4 linked regions of the Schizosaccharomyces pombe genome follow. The gene in region 2 interacts genetically with the main gene of each other region. Each region holds a gene or a part of one and is shown on either strand. Other genes may lie near its edges. The genes, in order: set3, gsk3, kti12 and ppe1.

Region 1 (5,658 bases), 4.1 Mb from region 2:
CTTCCAAGGCAAGAAATGTCGCAGCCTTTCCGTAAGGGCTGAAGCAGGAACTGTCTCATCAGACCTGATGAACGTGAAATGTTCATTGGTAATTGTTTACTTTTGTTTGCGTTTCGCTTAAAAAAGTAGGTTCATGGAGAGAGAGGAATGGTACCTAACCTCCCGGTTCTATACCACAATAATCTAACGGCGCACTTTCAGAGTCGCTATAAGTAGACAAGCTATATTAACGTAGGCCGTTTGATATATACAAGATCTGAGTGGATCGTCGATGAATAGTTTAATTTGATGCGACAATTCGCTGAAATCTGCACGTAGCATATTTGAATCGATGTTTATATTTATGATACTTAATACTCAAAATGTACTAGCTTCATTTGCGTATCCAAAAAGTTATTTAATCTAGTACATGTCGCATACGGAAATAGCTGACATCTTAAATAGTTAGTTCTTATAATCTTACGAACCGAAACTTCTATATGACAAACATAAATCATTTAACTGCTATAAATTAATATTATTATATTGTACAATGTTCTAAACGTGCAAATTAGGAACAGAAAAATGCAACGACTGAGGGTTCGTTGCTCTGAATCAAAAGAAACTAAAAAAAAAAAAAGGAACTAGAGTTTTCGCCCAAACACTTAGTCATTAAATATTTACAAACGAAGAAGAAAAGAATGCAGAAGCAGGTGACAGTAAAATATGCTCCGAGTACCAATCATCATAATAAAAAAATGAAATGAAAATACATATGAAGGTAAAAAGATGCAGTCATCGTACCAACTTTAGAATCGTGAAAACTTGTTCGTATACCATATCCAATAAAAAAAATCATCCACACATTTATATGGTTTCAAGATTTACAACATCTTCTAGAATTTTTATCGCGTAAATGAAGGGTTAGAAACTGTAGCAGCAGGAACGGTGTGAGGCCTAGCTGTATCGCCATGTGCTTGATTATCCTTCGACTGTTGATGCAGAATGTTTTGTTGACGTCGTTGTCGATACTCAGAAAGAGATAGCTTCTTCGGTGCTGAGGTAGGAAGAGCAGAGGCTGAAGTGTTACTAGGCTTGACTACACTTCCTTGGACCAGATTCGAATTGGGCTTGTTTTCGCTTCTTGAAGTATTTAACGCATTCGAGATATCATCACCGTTGTTGGCTTTGTGGTCCAAAATGTTTGGATTGTTCGTAGGAAATTGGTTGTTTACCAAAGCATGGCGACTCGTTATAACTGGTGCTGGAGCTGTCGGCAAAGGAGGCGTAGTTACAGGAGATTTATCAAACGAAAACCCGACAGGACTAACCGAAGGTGAATGGGATCGAGTGCCATTCTGTCTAGAAAAGTTAACGTCAGAAGACCTTTGAGTGTCGTGAACATGCGATTTATCTTTTACAGTCCTTAACGTATTAAAAAACATGGACCCACTCTTTTCTTTACTCGACGGCTCGAGTTTCAATTTTGAATCTGAATTTCTATGGAAAGAAGGATGGACCTTATGTGGTCTGTCACCTTTAGTCTTAAAGGCTTCCGGCTTCCTTTCGATAGATAGCGATCTTTTATTATAATCAGGTTTGCCATGAAAATCATTTGCAATGCTACGGCGTCTTTTAACTGACGGCAAATGATCAACAGAACCATGCTTTTTGTGGACTGTCGTAATAGTTCCTAATCCTCTTTTGCAAGGAGAAGTTTTGTCCAGCATATCTGGGCTTGTTCGAGGATGTTGTAATGGTGAGGCTGATCGCCTACTTAGTGATTCTCCAACATTAAAAGATGGAGGAGTTGTAGGGGTTATCGAGGATTCTTCAGGTTCCTTTGCTTTTTTCAATGGACCATCGGATTGTAATGCAGCATCGGGTGAAATGGGCGATAAGACGTCTGCAATGCCCACCTTAGAATCAGTGTGTAAATCAGCAATATCAGTTTTCTTGTCCCTATTAGAGGAATCTTCCTCAACAGAGGGTAGTGGAGATTGTAAATCTTTAGTTGGTTTTTTCTCCTTCACAGATGGCTGTAACTTCGGCTCCATGACTACATCGATTCCTACACTTTCTGTGGGTAATGACTTAACAGCAGGCCATTTTTGCAAAATACTAAGACGGTACTTATCTAACCAAAACTCTTTCAAGGATTTGGCATAGACCGATGTGGGGTTTGAAGGTTGCGGTAATGATTCAGCAGGGCTAGGGGTAGAAGGGGTTGAGGAAGGTGTCAGAGACAAACGGTCTTTTGCTACACTGACACGGTTTGCAGTAGAAGCGCGGCGGGCCGCTTTAATATATTTAGTAACTCTGGAAAAAACACAGTTTTTCTTATCCTGTGAGGCACATTCGTTAAACGACAGGAAGGTAGAAAGCACTTCTGAAAGTAATTCCAACTCTTCCATATTGAAGGAGGGTCGCGACATACCAGGCGCAAACTGGCGAAATGGATGGGAAATATCGAGAGTCCAATCCCCAATAATCTCTGTTTCCGGAGCTATGTGAGTAGTTGAATAGAGGATAAATCGAGGAACACTGTTAGACCCATTCATGTAAACACTTGAAACGACGGAGTTTGACTGACAACCTTTACGCGCAAACCTCGCTTTTGAACCAGCAACCCGTGAGTCAACAACAAGCTGAGAATTTGAGTCAAAAAAGACATGTGGCTTAGGAGCCCCCAAAATATTGTACTGGTTTTTGGGATCACTTTTGTATTCATTCTGCGTACAAACCCTTCCTTTCACCTCCATAATGGGTGTATTTGGAGGAATTTCGCAAGTTGACACCAAACCAAAGCGACTACAACAAAACTTTGAAGATGATATAGGTACGACTTGGCATCCATCCATTAAAACTTCGGATTCATCTAAATTCTTTAAATCCAAATTCTTAGAATACTCAAGCGCAGATGCAGAAAAGGTGTTTGATTCCAAAGGGACGTATTCCAAGTGAAACGAATACACATATTCGTTAGAAGCCTCGGTGATTGGAGCCTCTGGTGGGTTGTTAAGGTGGTTGGATCTTCGTCTGCGATTCTGAGAATGTGGAGCATGAGCATTGGGCAATGTTGCACCAGTCACACTGTTACGATAAGACCCCGAGTTCGAAGAGTTGGTAGACTGTGAAAATAAAGCGCCATTAGCGCCTGTGTTATTGCCTTGTCTCGGTGACGCAGAGTGTGTAGGACTAGCACCATTTTTGCCAAAACTAGTTCTTCTCTTGTTGTTGGAAGAACGGGATCGCGATAATATCCTAGACTGCTCTTCTTCGCGCTGTAACCTAGCTAGTTGAATTTTATGCGCCTTGTCGGCATCGATAGGACGAGGTTGGCATTGTTCACAAAAATATTTTTCAGGAACATTATTTGCATCTATGTTTACACAAACGGCGTGTTGCCATACCTCGCAACTTTCGCATTGGATGGTGAATCCGTCATCATCCTCGAATGGACAAACGCATCGTATTTTCCACATGCTAACTTAACCAAAGAGAAAACGATCAACTTATAACAAAGTAAAGAAGTATTTCATAAACGCTAATTTCTGTACAGGAGCAATTTAACCTTGGAAATTACTGCTTTCTTATGAAAGCAAAGATTTTAGCCCCAACTATACCAATGGCTATCTCGATTATCTGAACTCTCCTAAAACTAGGAATCTAGTATATAAATACTCGAAAAACCATGTAAGTTGAACAAATACTCTGTTTTCAATTTGCATACGCGATTTTGGTAGTTGATACGACGTCGCGATTATTCCGCTCTTCAACATTTCCATCCACCGAGTGTAAACACACGTCCCATAAACCACGTTTCCGCAGTCTAACGTCTCCTCGGTAAAAACAAAGAGAAGAAGATGTTGAAGAATAGTTCATTTCTCTATGAAACTTCTCATTTTACATATTTTAGAAGGTAATAAAACTGTCAAGGAGTTTTTAATGAGTCTTGCTAAGAAACCATTTTGAAAAAAAAAAATCATCTACTAAGACAATGAGTTGAGATAAACGGCAGGTGCAATGTGTCAGTAGTTAGCTAATGTATGGTGTTAGTGAGTGTGCGCAAGCAATCGAAAACGTCAATAACGGACTCGCAACTCTAAAGAATTAACAACCTTTAGCATTGGACTGTAGGGTTTAAACAGCTTTACAAGGAGAGGGATCTGTTTTCATGAGTTCCACAGTGATATGAGACTTGAATAGGCTTGTCAACTATAGAGAAATGTATATGCAAGGAAACCAGCATAAATGACAAAGTCTTTACTGTTTTATGACTTACTAAATATACCTCATGGAGAATTGAATCCAAATAATGAAGCAATGTTCTATCGTTCTAGTAGAATTTTACATTTCGAAGAGGCATTTGTGATAAACGAAACTAATAATATAAACCAATTTATTCCTAAACAACCATTTTTCAAACTGTTAGACTGTTGTATCTTGTACAAGCTCCAAACTGAAGATAGGTTCGTTTACAAGTATGTATACACGAAAATCCATTATTAACCATATTAATCTGCACGTAGCATGCAAGTCCAAAGAAGTAACCAAACGAGAAGAGAAGCCGAAACCAAATGCCAACTTTAGATATGCAAGATAAATTTTAAAAAACACGTTTTCGAAGTGTCTAAAGAGTTCGAAAGTGTAAGAAAACCACTCCCCAAAAATGTCTTCTCTTCTACTATTTTGTAAATTTGAAAGGAATAAAACAATAAAATAAAATAAAATAAAAGAACGAAGCGGGACGCAACCAACGGAAGATCGAGAGTTACATTTTTGTAGGAAGAAGAGTGTTTAGTCCATTTGCATGGCTGAAGATGAGTTTCGAGATTTCTTGTTTTTGCGTTTTTTGGCGAGGACGGGAATCTTGACAGGTTCTGCAACTTCTTCTTCCATGGTATACTCCTCGTCGGAAACAATTTGGGGTTCTTGTACCTCAGCAGTTTCAACCTCACCTTCGGGTTCGGTAAATTGAGGAACATTTTGAGCAATGAGTTTTTGAGCTTCTTGAAGCTCTTGGGCACGTTTGCCAGCCAATCTCTTTTTGTAAAACAGACGCTCTCTCTTGGCATGAACTTGGCTAACCCGTTTCATGGCATTCAAAGTAGTTGCAATGACATTACGGTCGTAACGAACAGGAACATTTCTACGAGCTGCGGTAACTGCGAGAGCTGTGTCATAAACCATTTCCTTTCCATGTGCCTTACGGTACGCTTTGGTCCAAGCAACCTAGACATTGAAGTTAGTATACATACATATAGGTGGAAGCAAAACATTTAAAAAAACAATAGAAAACTTTCTTCGTTCATGGGCATATAAAGGAAAAAGTACACCATTTAAGGTAGAATTTGAAGAAGAAAAGTATCATTTCAAAACAAGGCAACAGAAAAAAATTTTTCCTCTTTCAAAATCAATCATCTTCCTCAACCAAGTCTGTATAACGTTTTTGCATTCCTTTATTATAAAAAAAACATACCTTACGAGGATTGCGCTTCATTTTGAAGTTCTTATGGCACTTGCTGCGACAGAAACGAAAGACCTTGGAGTCATTTCTAACAAACATTATTCCATGTCCTGGGTAAACAGGACCCGAGCAGAAATAGCAAGTATGTACCCTAAATTTCCGTTAGTAATAAATACTTTGAAGGCATTTAGCTCTACAAACCTCATATT
Region 2 (4,728 bases):
ACCTACAACCAAGTATATAAAACAGGCATCTATGGCTTGAAAACAAAAAGAAAACACGAGGAAATATTGTTTAATCTTTTTTAGTACACTAAGTCCATCATCATTAAGTCATTAAAGTGCGAGAATGAATCCCATAAATAAAATGAAGTTTGTCTCCATTGATAAACAATCTCAAGATATATGAATCCACAATTCGGCAAATTCTTCACGCGATACTTTACCATTAGTGCCAGCTAAATCGAGCATCAACTGAAGCTGTTCTTTAGTCAAATTTTCCCCTAGTTGAGCGCAAGATCTTCGAAGGTCTTCAAAGTCAATGTACCCTTTGTGTGTCACGTCAAAAAGATCAAAAGCCTCTTCTGCTTCTTCATCCATTTCAAGACGTTTAGTACTGACAGACATGGTTCCCCTAAACTAAAAAACTATTCAACAAGGAAACGCAAATGCAAACAAATGAGATAGTGCCAAAAATGCTAAAATGAACGAAATAACAGTAAAAAAAAAGAAAGGAATGAAAATCAGCGTCCGATGGCTAGAAGAGATATAATTTGTTCAACAGTTATCAAAAAAAGACTAGAAGTGAGTTAAAAATCCAAACGAAAAGACAAGGAGGAATAATATGAACAGATAGACAATCAAAAGTGGAATAACTGCGTTTAAATACTAAGTAATCAGGCTATTTGATGCAATTTGAAGGTGGTACAAATGGAAATTTCGTGGTGCGATAAAGTGGACGAAACTTGACCTTAATGAATATATGGTATAAAAACGTTAAGCTGAATTTTTTTTTCTAAAACTGCCAAATCAACAAGGATATTGAAGAGACAGTTGGAAATCTCAAAATTTATGTATAAAATGTGTTCAATTGACTTTATTTACGTGCCAAGCCAACCTACTAAGGCGTTATTAGCTAATATAATAAATTGACCGAAGCTAAGGTTGTGCGCAATATTTAAATAACAAAACACGTAATACAAGATTTTTGATGAGTTAATAGATCGACTTGCAAAATGGCTTTAATGATGTAGGCTATCAAGCATAATCTCCTTTAGCGGTGTGGCATACTAATACTCGTGTTATATATTATATATGAATGTTTGACATTATTTATACACATTCATTTTTTAAGGATTCTTACTTTGTTTATGTATTTTTTAACATATTTGAGATGCTTCTGAGACATTGGTTCGCTCTCTGATTTCGTAGTTTTTCCATTTTTTCCTTTGAGACAGGGAGGGATACGCGATTTGCATATGCTAGTATAAATTTGTCTCCCTGTGAATGTTCCATTATTTACTGTATATGAATTGCGACAGCAGTTGCTACTGAAAGGTAGGAGCACAATTCTGATGGCATTTGAAAAGTCAAACTTCCTACTAGATTTTATGTGAATTATTTTAAAAAATATGTTTTTCTTTTCTAAAATCCACATCGAATTCAGTGTTTGCTCTAGCAGTTTCAAAGTATATCACTCTAAATTCGGTAACACTATTCAATATAACGGACTGGAGGAATTAAAACTCACAATGTGATAATCGCGTATACGTAAGATGGTTAATAACCATGAATTCAATTTCTCAAGCACGAATTTTTCATTAATATACGTACTTTTTTATGGTTATTGTAATAAATAAGAGGAAAGAATGAACCCTCTTTTCTTTGATACTTGCGCCGAGAGTTTACAGTTTTATGATTTGCTCATGTCCCGTAATGTTACCTCTTAGAAGTACGCACTTTGTATCATGCTACTATACCCCAGAGATTATTCTATGGTAGAACTTCCTCCACTACCACAACCCGTACTCCACGTTCATCACGCCAAGAAAACCTCCTTTTTAAGTCCTCTGATAGCTTTTTTTTCATTTTGTAATTTAACATTTCTGTATCATCATCCATAATGAATCATGGTACTAAAAGTAAGTTGGCTAACTTCGATAGTGCTGTTGTTCTAACCGTATAAATAGTTCCTGTGGACCCCTTTCGTATTATAAAGGAAACCGCTCGTGATGGGTCAACGGGAGAGGTGAAGCAACTTTCTTACACTTCGAGTAAAGTTGTGGGCTCTGGAAGCTTTGGCGTGGTCATGCAGGTTCATTTAATTGAATCAGACAGCAAAGCCGCTATAAAACGCGTTTTGCAAGATAAACGGTTTAAGGTATGTATTTTTATTGAATGCAAAATGCGAAAGGAAGGGTTAGATTTTACTTTATTTTTCTGTGAAAACCGCACACTTTTGTTTACGCTGAAGATACGTAGCGCGCGTGCTTCGTCAATATACGTAAGATTCATTTACAAAAGATTGGTCGTCTACATGCCATAAATGGTAAGAGAGTAGTGTTATTAAAACATTACTTGCTTTTGTGCTTTCTCTTCTTTGAAGTGTCCACAGGCTTACCATACCTGTTGTCATGAAATTGTACAACTCAAATGCCTATTGCTTTTTTTTTGCATCCATTGTACGATACACAAGCTTTTTTTAGCCAGTATTTGGATGCGTTGAAAATTTAGTGTATTCGTTTTGAACATATTTTTCCTTTTTCCCTCCTCCATTTTTTGCACTTCTTTCTAGATTTATAAAAAAACTCAGTATTATAAATCTTCTCCAATGAACCTTTGTTTCTAACACTTAATTTTAGAATAGGGAGTTACAAATTATGCGAATTATGAAGCATCCAAATATTGTCGATTTAATTGCCTACTATTATACCACCGGTGATAATTCCGATGAAGTCTATCTAAATTTGGTTCTAGAGTTTATGCCTGAAACGATTTATCGTGCTTCTCGTCTATATACTCGTCAAAAACTTTCTATGCCAATGCTGGAAGTCAAATTGTATATATATCAGCTTTTGCGTTCTTTAGCCTACATTCATGCTAGCGGTATTTGCCATCGTGATATCAAACCTCAAAATCTACTATTAGATCCGGAAAACGGAATATTAAAGCTTTGTGATTTTGGTAGCGCAAAAATCTTGGTTGCTGGTGAACCAAATGTCTCTTATATATGTTCTCGTTATTATCGAGCTCCAGAATTGATTTTTGGAGCTACTGATTATACTCACGCTATTGACATCTGGTCTACTGGATGCGTGATGGCTGAGCTTATGCTTGGACATCCTCTTTTTCCCGGTGAAAGTGGCATTGATCAGTTGGTAGAGATTATCAAAATTCTCGGTACTCCTAGTCGAGAACAAATAAAGACTATGAATCCTAATTATATGGAACATCGATTCCCACAAATACGTCCACAGCCTCTTTCACGAGTGTTTTCTCGAAGTGTTCCCCTTGATGCATTGGATCTCTTATCAAAAATGCTTCAATATACACCTACTGATCGCCTTACTGCTGCTGAGGCAATGTGCCATCCCTTTTTTGATGAGCTTCGGGATCCTAATACTAAGCTTCATAACTCTCGTAATCCCGATGCTTCTCCTCGTCATTTACCCGAATTGTTTAATTTTTCCCCCTTCGAACTATCCATTCGTCCTGACCTTAACCAAAAACTAATTCCGTCCCATGCTCGCGATGCTTTACCCGTGAAACTTGATGATTTTGTTCCAATTCCAATTCATCGTGCCCGAATTGATTAAATGTAACGGGTATATGCATTCATCTTCTAAAGTTCTTGTATATCCATTTTTGCCACCAAACTTATTTTACTTCTTTGTTGTATTACGCATTAATATAGCCAGTGAATCTGCCTTGTTGTGCGTACATATACCAATCGCTATCTATACTGATTCTACAATGGTCTACTTGTGTGGATATTCTTTTCGTTCACTTTTTTTTTGTCGTTATTGGTGTTGAATAAATCAAACCTGAATTTTGTTTTGATGAGAACTAAATTTTTTCGATCACGATTATTTTCTTAATTGTTATTTTAGGAGTCATAAGTAGACCATCTTAGTTTGCTGAAAGTTTTTCAGCGACTTTAAAACTTTAATTGGATGAGAAATGTAATCGGTAATTCTTTCATTCTGGAAAGTATACTGCAGAATCTCATATATACATATATATCATAATTCTTATACTAGTAAAATGTTTGTGATTGATTCAATTAATATTTTATGGTTAGGTTTCAAAAGAATGTTTTGTTTTTATTATTGTTTAATTCATTTTTTTGTCCTCATTAAAAATTCTTTTGGTAGAGTCATTACTAAGTTTTTGCTTCGTAGACTACATGAAAGAAGCTGGTGAGGCGAAGTAATATTATGATTCAATACTACCTAAGATATAGCAAACATCAAAAGGGTACAAAATTCTAGGAAATCATCTGGCAACGTTAGATATCAATATGTAAATAGAAATAGAAAAACATGTAAATCTAATTACATACTAAGTCAATAAATGGAAAGGAGTCTGGTAATTTTTGATTAATTAGCAGTGGTTTACAAACGAATAGTTACTAGTTATTGCAAATCAAAATTAGTGTCGATGACATGTGTAAGCTTGACATTCATTTTATTTCAAAATAGAAAAGTAAAGATAAGAGCAAAATTTTCATTTCGTATACGAAACTAGCAAACAACTACAACGACGTGAACAGCAAAAACGAGTGTATTTGAAGTAAATTATTTGTGAGATGATAGTACCAATCAACCCAACTGAACAAACAACGTTTCAAAAGGGAGGTGGTAAGAAATTGCAAAGCAAAAAAAACAAGTCATTTGAAAAGAAAGGAGTGAATGACTAGATGCGAGACTTCCAAATTTTCTGGATTTATCGTTC
Region 3 (3,562 bases), 3.5 Mb from region 2:
TAAACAACCCAAGCGTTTCTTTAGCAGCTAGTAATAATTTTAGTTAATAACTTGCAAAATACCCGCTAAATTGATTATCTTTATTTTACGACTTAAGAAAAAGGTTGGTATAATCTGGCTGATAAATATCACAACGGTCGTGTTATTTGCATACTGAAAACATCATTCGAATATCAACACTACTCAACAGCATACATTACAGATTAAGTCGAATGAATAAATCAATATTTATTCAGCTACAAGATCAAATTGATAAAGAACATAGTATTCGGGAGGTACTAATCTTGGAAATTATGACAAACTAACATTACAGAAACTGACTGCAGAGGTCGATTTGTTAGACGAAAAGTTAAGAGTTTTGCAACTTCTCTTGGCAAACTGTGAACAAAGTAGAAATGAAAATTTACAAGAAAAAGAACATGGACTAACTTTGGAAGATTTAGAAAATCAGGAAGAAATTTTAGAAGCTCTTGAGATCATTAAAAGCAAAACCAGAGGATTAGCAGAATTGGCATCGAATTTTCCATACTATAAATATAACGGAGTCTGGGATCGATCAATTCAGAAAGTTGTTTATTTATATTTGCTAGCTTCCTGGACCGGTCGTTTAGATAAAAGTTTAAGACCCACGTACAGCCTTCTATCGCTTTCCGAAGTTGGTCAAATTTTGCAAGGTGCGTAAATTATTTTACATTTTTCTCACAATCTTCAGTCCCGGTTTTTCCAGAAGAGTCCACTTTTCATCTTTCAATTGAGCAATATTTGCACGCAGTACTATCTCTGTGTTCTGAACTGGTATATATTCTATTCAACAATCCAAATTGACACAATTTCTAGGCTCGTCAATCTGTAAACTCAGTAATATCTGGAAACTATCATATTCCATTTGAGGCCCTAAATACTATTCAAAAAGTTCATTCTTCTTTTCAAGTACTCTCTTTGAAAAACGACTCCTTAAGAAGACATTTCGATGGATTAAAATATGATTTGAAAAGATCTGAGGACGGTATGAAATTTACGTGGATTTTTTTTTTTTTTGATAGTTTATTTCTGACATATGCAGTTGTTTATGATCTTCGGATACATAAATTGGTTTAAATTGCTAACAATTTATTTGCCAGCTGTACGCTTGACTAAAATTGAGCCGATAAAATTGCTTTTTTAATATTAGGTCTGCTTATTTGCTATGAAACTGGCAGTCCTATGATGAATGCAATTATATTTCTCTTTCTTTAATTTTGTTACACTCTCTGGCAAACTGAATAGTTATTTAAAAAAAAAATATTTCAGCCTAGGTTTCTTTAAGTTCTGATTTTTCTTTACCCAATATTCAAGACGTTTTCCAGGGTACTAAATTAATCATTGGACTGGTATACAACATGTGTTATAAGTTAGTCGCATTTTACCAGATACATGTTAATGGCGGCATAAGTAGATACTTTTCTAACTTTTAATCAACTGCATTTAGCTTATATTTCTTGATGTCCTATGCACCTTTAAAATCTTTCAACAAATGATTACTATTTTTAAATTGAACAACCCTGATTGCGTAGAAGGCGTGCATGTTTTTTTAGCGATTAAAATCCGGGGTCTTACTAGTGTTAATCCTTAATTCTTTTAGAACAATTGATAAGGTAAAGGGAAGCAAGATTAAATTAAAGAGACCGCAAATTGAAATTACTGTGTTTTTAAGCCTAAGCAATACTTACTAGTCGTAAGTAATAAGTCAGTACCGAAATTGAGCGCATTACGAAATACAAATTAAGGATAAAAATTAACTGTTTACTAATGTTTAACGAACTAGTAATTTTCGTTAAATTCATGAAAAAATATATCAAAAAAAAGCTGGAAGTTTTCAAACATATGTTTTACGGCTGATTTTATTCAACCTTCTATTTTGTAGAACATAAAGAAAATGCCATTAATAATTGTTTCAGGTTATCCATCTTCAGGGAAAACAACGAGGTCAAATGAACTTAAAAAGGCTTTAGAAGATCGAATTCATCAAAATATCGACAATACAAAGGATTATCGGGTGATAATAATAAACGATGAGAGTTTAAACATTGAAAAAGAAACATATCGAGGTATGTTTAAATAGTTATCTTTAATGATTTAGTTTTTGGAAATTAGCCAATTCATTTTTGGCTTCAGATTGTGCCCAGCTACTCTAGATGATGGGAGAATCCGTATATGCAATTTTTCGTAATTCTGGTAACTAATTTGTCTTAGAGTCCAAGAACGAAAAGGCCGCTCGTGGCCTTCTCTATTCTGCTGTTCAGCGTGAACTTTCAAAATCTACATTCGTAATTTGCGATGCCTTGAATTACATAAAAGGATTTCGATACCAGTTATATTGTGAATCAAAGTCTATGTACACAACTCATTGTGTGATTCATGTTGCTGTTCCTCAAGATTTATGTCGAAAATTCAATAGTAACAAGGAACAGCCGTATCCTGACGATGTTCTTGAGCAATTAATGTTTCGTTATGAAGAACCGAATGGAATGACACGATGGGATTCCCCTTTATTTACTGTCTTGCACGATGATGCTTCTTGTCCTATCGATGACATCTGGTCAGTTCTTATTCATAACAAAAATGTCAAGCCTAACCAAGCTACAATGGTAAAACCTCCAGCTGAAGTCAACTATTTATATGAATTAGATAAAACTACTCAAGACGTAATCATGCTTATACTGGATAATTCCAACGATACCTCCTTGATTACTGTACCAGGGAGCAAACTTCAAATCGCATTACCCAGTGTTACAGTATCTCTTCCTTTACTTCAAAGATTGCGCCGTCAATTTATCCAAATTAACCGGCAACAATCATATAATACCAATGTTCTCAAGGAAATGTTTGTCGAATTTTTAAATGGTCAATTTGAAACCTTGGACTGATATCCTTTTCTTAAACTTTATGATATTTTTTTTTGGGATTTTTAAGGGGACGAAAAAATGTAGCCTAATATTAATACTTAACTTTGTTTGTTTCTTTTTTTTAGAACATGTTTAAAATGGTAGAAATCGTACATTTTGTTTAATTCCTTAATCCTTTTACAGTTTAAGGAATGCTGTCCTGTAAAAAAGAAATAAGAAAACGTTCACGGTCAATATCGACAATAAAAGTTTCAGTAAAACAACGAATATTGTATAAATCTAGTTATAATGTTTACTATTTAATCCATACTGTAATAAAACAATTTATTATAAGTCTCGCTCGTTTGCTTTATATAAGTAGCACATTGAACCGAGATCTAACGTTCGACACATTAAGGCCGAAAACACTTAGCAAAGACATACTCCGCCTTATATTTCATTGCTAAAAGTTGGCTCGTCTAGACGGCAATTGGCTTGAACGTGACCGATGCCAAAATGCAGGATGCCTCTGAACCTGTGATCAATATGCCTGCTCTGCCTATGAACTCCGTGAATGAGCAACATGACAGACACGAAGATCTTCCAGAAGTTGGAACAACATCAGTTACTAAAATTATTAATGATTCTGACAACGAAGATGATGAAAATGGTATGGATCTCGGTCGTGTTGCTTCTGA
Region 4 (6,035 bases), on a different chromosome or scaffold from region 2:
GGTCTCACCCTTGTACTCAACCTGCAAAACAGGCTTGCCATCCTTGGAGATGACCTTGAAGGGCCAGTGCTTCATGTCAGACTGAACCTCAGGATCATCAAATTTACGGCCGATCAAACGCTTGGCATCAAAGATGGTGTTGTGGGGGTTCATGGCGACTTGGTTCTTAGCAGCGTCACCAATGAGACGCTCGGTATCGGTAAAGGCAACATAAGAAGGGGTAGTGCGGTTACCTTGATCGTTGGCGATAATTTCGACACGGTTGTTGGAAAAGTGTCCAACACAAGAGTAGGTAGTACCCAAATCAATTCCGATTGATTTGCTCATATTGATGTGAAAAGACAAAAAACAAATAAAAAAGACTAAAGTTTATTTGGGGATTATAAAAAGGAACGTGGGATATAAATAATTTAATATAGCACTCCTTATTTAAGATGCAATAGATAACTTTCTTCGTTAACTTCCTATAAGGAAAATGATTTATTACTCCTTAATTGATATTAATGCAAGTAATAGGAATACACGATGTTGGGAGGGTGGGATATTCATCGTATTTATTACATTAGGCTACGGTTCTCGAAGTTTCCCAAAACCCTAACCCTCGCTCGTAAAGCACCTTACAGAACGTTTGGGTAGAACAGTAGAGAATCTTTCGAACACCGTACGTCATGATGAAGCAGTTTGGTAAAGAGCGAAAAAGGAAATCGAACAATCCGTTAAATTATTTAACGAACTCGAAAGTCCTGGAAGAGCGTGGAAAGAGCCGGAAGGGATACAGAGGACAGCGCATTGGAGTGCAATAAATGCCCAGAAGTCTTAGAAATCGTTAAAAGAAATTACGGTTGAATACGAGATAAATCAGTAAATGGAAAGATGAATAGTGGAAGGAGCTTCACTAATACGACCCGTTGAGTATTAACACTGAGTCACTCTACTTACTCTATTTATATTGGCAGGTGCAATGAGTTTAGAAATTGGAATCAGCATGTTTTCTTTAGAAAGTATTTAGGGGGTAATTTTGAAGAAATAATAAAAAATGAAACGTTAAATGTTTTCATAAATCAAATGAAAGAAGCATCGTTTTTGATGCATGTAACATAGACATGTTTTACAGTGTTGCACTTAAATAGAATGGGAAATGTTCTGTAATATCCAAAATTTCATGGTTTTGATTTACCAGCGCATTACTAACGTTGTAGAAGGGGATTCGTAAAAGTTATATATAGTTAAACATGAAAATTGTGTGCGATAAAAGCCCTATGCGAAACATTAGCTCACTAGACACACAGTCATAAACACGATCACAAGTCCGGGCAGTTTGATTGAAAATGGCTCGTTTCAAACTATTTTAAATTATTTACAAGAATAAACAACCTTTGTAGAACACAAGTGAAAAGGATATGGAAAGAAGCTTGTAAAACAAGATGCAACTGAAAACGGTTTTACTTCAATGATAGCAAAGACATTTAAGAAAATGAAAATAGAAAATAAATGAAAAAGATCATAGATCGATGAGCGTTTGCAAATTTCGGAAAGCCCAATTTTCTTTTCAATTCAACAAAACCCTAGAATTGGGGTTAGAAAAATATAAATTGTCCGTTTGCTTTTACCAATTTTTTTCAACAAACAAGTTTAACTGAATTCGAATAAAAAGATCCCAATTCTCGCAATATCTCTCATTTTCAAATAAACCAGCAAATCCAATATCAATGCCACTTGATAACACACATAAAACTGATCATTTTAAATCCAGCATTCAGACGCAAGAAAAATGCCATGTCCTCAACGGAAAAAAAGAAAAACCAGGCCATATTCAGAGAGGTCATAAAAAAAATTTCAACTCATCTCATCACTGTATCGAAGACATCTTAAAAAGATACATAAAAAGCTTTATATATTCTCCATGTATGCACTGTATAACACAATTTGGGATAATCAGAGTACATGAAGACAATTAGTCTCTTTCAGGCATCAATTTTCGCACGCTGAATATCCCTCCTCTTCTTCTCGTAGACAAATTTATCAACTTCAAAAACAAACAAACCACTCCTTCTTCTTTTCGTAAATAAGAATGATTTAAAAAAAATACAAATACTACGAAATCCGGTCAAACGAACAAAAAATTGTGCAATGATCGAACAGGTGCTTATTAAAACTGCAAATTATGTTACTGACTGACTTTCCTTAGCAAAGCAAGCGACAATTTGCAAAACATTATTTTACAAAGGTAAGTAGAAAGTAAGAGAAGCGAAGCATGAAACAGAAACGATATATCGGCAGAGATATTATCAAGAAAATTTGTCCAAAGAACTGTACAGATATAATAATGCATACTAAACTTATATATAAGAAATTGATTATCAAAAATCACCCTTGCTTGCTTAATCTTAACTGACAAAACTGAGAAAAATCATGATATACATATCATCGTACTAGATGCCAAGAAACCCCAATTAAAGCAAGCTCGACGCAAACCCGAGAGGAATTATGTATAACGTTCTTGACAAAAGAGTGACAAGGCAAGCACTGCAACATGCGATTATTGGCTTTATGGACGCGTAGTAATGGAAACAAAAATTATGGAGAAGGGATCATTAAGAATTTTTGGGCACTAAGTAACTTTATGTTGCTGGAACAGTGTGGTAACGCAAGTCAATGCTATTGCGAAAAAAAGGTTAAGGGAATATCATCACAATGTGAGGTGAAATAAAATTGCAAACACCAAGTCGCTTTTTTGAAGGGAAACAATCTAAACTATAGCGACTGAAAATAGCTAGGAAAAAAAGATTAAAAAACAAACCCATGTAACTTATAATATCGTTTTGCGTAACAAGCTGCCAAGGAAAAATAGAATATACCTCACGCGCAAAGCAAACGGAAATAAAAATATGGAAGTTGAGAACTGGAAGAGAGAAAGAAAGTGTCGGACAAGGAAGTAAAAAAAGCTACGTTTTAAAAAACAAAAACTATTACATGTTTGAGGGGGTATATGTGTGCCATAAAAAACAAGATATTTGACTTGCACATACCAAAGTTAGATGAAATACTCGCTTCTTTTTCTGCTAGGGGGAACGGTACGATCTTCGTCGGCAACAGCCGAGAAAATACGAAATTCCGGTTCCAAAGATTCATCTACTTTCATAACACTTGCCACATTTCCACATCTATAGCAGTAATTGGGAGCACTCCAAACGGTAACAAGATTTTTATCGGCAAAATGATATTTGTAGCCCTCTTGAACAAGTTGATGAGCACGAGCAATCAATGTCAAGTCGTTGATTTGACTAAATTCGGTAGTAACTTTAGAACCAAACAACCATCCAGCTCCCCGAGGCGAAACAGTCCAAGATTCAATATCCTCTGGATCAGACCACATCAAATCGCAAAATGAGCCTTCATGGGGAATTTCTTGAGCACGCGCAAGAATACGAATCTGATCCAATGTGCGAACTTCCGGAGATAATCCACCATGCACGCATAAAATTTTGTTATCGATAACCGCTGCCAAAGTCAAAAAATCAAAAACTTGGCAACAATATTTCCAAACATTTGCATTTCCATATTTGGTTTGACACTCATCATAAAACCCGTAGACTTGAGTGATCTGGCGACTTTCGTGATTACCACGAAGCAATGTAATTTTATCTGGGTACCTTGCTTTCAAAAGCATAAATAACGTAAAAGTTTCTAAGCTAAAATAACCTCGATCCACAAAATCACCCATAAATATATAATTTGTGCTTGGCAATTCTCCACCTACTCGAAACAGTTCCAAAAGGTCGTAAAACTGACCATGTATATCACCACAAACAGTAACGGGAGTCCGCACAGGCTGGATATTGGACTCCTCCATTAAAATAACTTTTACCATCTCACACAATCGTTTCAACTGGTGTTCTGGAAGATATTTACACTTCCTTACTGTAGCGATCCATTCATCCAAGTCAAACATCGTTGTAGCACAAATTATTCAAGGATCTCTTCTAGATTATTAAACACAGTTATTTCTCAATACTTTCCTATTTAGAAATTGGCTTCCTAATTAAATATGTTGTTTGCGGAGAGTACGTAAGTTAGTACGTTGAATACTTAAGAGGGGTGTTTAACGTATTGTAACGATTAACGGCGTACCAAGTCTTTATCAGATATGGATGTTTGGTACATTCAAAAGTCGTATGAAAAAGTCTACATGTGGAAATGACCTTTTATATACAAATTTATATAGTCCGCTGATTAAATTGGGATGTCGTCGAACACATTTTATCCTTATTGCTAACGTCAAATTTTGTTGCAAATTTTCTTAAATTACCGAGGTGGGATTGCTTTAAATTATAAATACTTGTAGAGTTTTAAACGATTGAAAGTCTAGGTCATGAGGCGAAGATGAGAGAGTAGCATAACGAGAAACGTTGTCTGTAGAACGACAATAAAAGTGTCGTTTCCATAACCTTTAAATATAGTAAGCGAATTTAGGATCAGTTCGAAGATTGTTGCAAGCGTAGATCCAACTTGTGAAAAACTTGCTTACTAAAGAGCTTTCAAAGTCATGAAGAATATATGATATCTTGTTGATATAAATGGCATCTCCGTCGTCAAGTATGCGAAACCGTAGGCAAAAGAAAAATCGTACAGAGAAGGTTACCGAAGCAATTGCTATTAATTGTTTTTTATCGAGTCTTCCGAGTTAACAGAATAAAGTGAATCTCTCATGCACAAGTTTATCAACTCTTAGAACTACTTATAGCTTTGATTTTTTCCTCAAATACTTATGGCCATAATTTTCCTTCTGAATAAATAAATTTACTGGAATTCAACGTAACAAACAAAATAACGCTATACCCTTATTGTGGAAAATATCGTAAAATATGATAAGCAGCATTACGAATACGCTTGAATATCCTATGTCAAATTGTGCAAAAGGGTGATTGAGTCCCAGTACCACGACATCCCGTCGCGTCTCATAGACGTAAACAAAACTTCTTTTTTCTATGGAAGGTATGTGTGCTTTTCAGAAATCATGGAACAGTTATGGCTTGAACATGATTTAAGTGAAGAATGGATTCCGCAGCCACAAGAACAAGGGTCAGACAATTCTAGTGAACCACCAACCACATCAAATGTAAACAATACTCAATCTACAGGTCGTGGTAGTTCAGGAACTTCGACAGAGCATGGAACGTTTAAGAAAGGAAGAAATGATGCTCCGGATGTTCCTCAATGGAAACAGGTGAATGCAAAGAACCCTGTTGCTCGTGATATTTTTGCAAGGTTGGATTTGGAAAATATGTTTGAAGAAAGCAGCAAACAAAGCCCCCCTTCAAAGTCTCCAACAAAAAATCCGTCCAAAAAGTCCAGTAATAACTCTTCTAGGCGTAGTTCTTCTTCAGTTGGTAAACTATCTAATGTATCGAACATGCAATCTTCTCCTTCTAAAGATCCTTTCGTTTCACAGGATTACGAAAAAGAATCTATCTCCTCTTCTCAGTTTAGCAAAAAATACTCAGAAGGAAGCTTGAAAAGTCAACAATCTAATACCAGGTCTAACTCGGTTCACGAAAAGCAAAATACGGACCATGCTAGCAATGCATCGTCATCCTCATCCGTTGTTTCTTCTCCCTCCTTGAAGCCCAATAATACATCCCCCCTTAAACTTTTCCAAGGAGCTAGTGATCCGTTTACTCGTGAGCATTTGAATCAATTAACTCAAGATGTAAAGTCCAATTCATTTGAAAATGGGGAAAAACAATTTTCACTCCCTGAACCACGAAGACCACAAAAACCTATGCGTACAACTGAACGAAAGGCTAGCCTCAATACCAAAGATCTCTATCAAGAGGTTGAAGAAGTCATGGCAAGATTGCGAGGAAGAATGCCTAATTCGGGACGAGAATCTACAATTTTTCTTCCTCGAAAGCTCAGCGGACTTCGTGAGGAGGAGGAACAAGATGAAATTTCAGTTGAAGTAAGTCAAGAAGATAGCTCTAATGCATTTCCCTCCTTAAGTGATCAACTTCATTTAAAAAGTCTTCAAAGTA

The links.
Region 1: mutations in gsk3 (region 2) and set3 impair growth when combined (synthetic growth defect), as found in Schizosaccharomyces pombe (one study listed by BioGRID).
Region 3: mutations in gsk3 (region 2) and kti12 together harm fitness less than expected from each alone (positive genetic interaction), as found in Schizosaccharomyces pombe (2 studies listed by BioGRID).
Region 4: of gsk3 (region 2) and ppe1, extra expression of one is lethal in a mutant of the other (dosage lethality), as found in Schizosaccharomyces pombe (one study listed by BioGRID).

The regions. Positions count from the first base shown.
Region 1 is NC_003424.3:5,039,018-5,044,675, forward strand, and holds set3 (putative histone H3 lysine methyltransferase Set3), read right to left. Parts: upstream 3,728-5,658; 5' UTR 3,465-3,727; coding exon 885-3,464; 3' UTR 529-884; downstream 1-528. Other genes in the region: etp1 (monooxygenase-ferredoxin fusion protein), read right to left, coding at 1-86; ribosome biogenesis protein rlp24, read right to left, coding at 4,780-5,214, 5,462-5,600, 5,651-5,655. UniProt on the Schizosaccharomyces pombe protein: Transcriptional regulator that acts via the formation of large multiprotein complexes that modify and/or remodel the chromatin. Required for both gene activation and repression.
Region 2 is NC_003424.3:928,042-932,769, forward strand, and holds gsk3 (serine/threonine protein kinase Gsk3), read left to right. Parts: upstream 1-1,789; 5' UTR 1,790-1,897; coding exon 1,898-1,916; exon of another isoform or gene 1,917-1,964; coding exon 1,965-2,155; intron 2,156-2,636; coding exon 2,637-3,590; 3' UTR 3,591-4,156; downstream 4,157-4,728. Other genes in the region: SPOM_SPAC1687.14C (calcium-binding protein), read right to left, coding at 172-402; SPOM_SPAC1687.23C (uncharacterized protein), read right to left, coding at 1,118-1,432. UniProt on the Schizosaccharomyces pombe protein: Interacts with cdc14 which is thought to play a role in the initiation and completion of mitosis. Involved in the positive regulation of mis12.
Region 3 is NC_003424.3:4,392,243-4,395,804, reverse strand, and holds kti12 (elongator complex-associated protein Kti2), read left to right. Parts: upstream 1-1,847; 5' UTR 1,848-1,915; coding exon 1,916-2,087; exon of another isoform or gene 2,088-2,232; coding exon 2,233-2,906; 3' UTR 2,907-2,992; downstream 2,993-3,562. Other genes in the region: tsn1 (translin), read left to right, coding at 213-275, 314-389, 438-674, 713-795, 838-1,006, 1,064-1,098; Sec7 domain-containing protein sec72, read left to right, coding at 3,381-3,562. UniProt on the Schizosaccharomyces pombe protein: Elongator complex-associated factor that is not a structural subunit but rather transiently contacts the complex.
Region 4 is NC_003421.2:2,051,535-2,057,569, reverse strand, and holds ppe1 (serine/threonine protein phosphatase PP6 catalytic subunit Ppe1), read right to left. Parts: upstream 4,060-6,035; 5' UTR 3,953-4,059; coding exon 3,035-3,952; 3' UTR 501-3,034; downstream 1-500. Other genes in the region: heat shock protein Ssa2, read right to left, coding at 1-327; SIN component scaffold protein cdc11, read left to right, coding at 5,018-6,035. UniProt on the Schizosaccharomyces pombe protein: Has a role in chromosome segregation. May provide a dynamic connection between kinetochore microtubules and kinetochore chromatin. Negatively regulates mis12.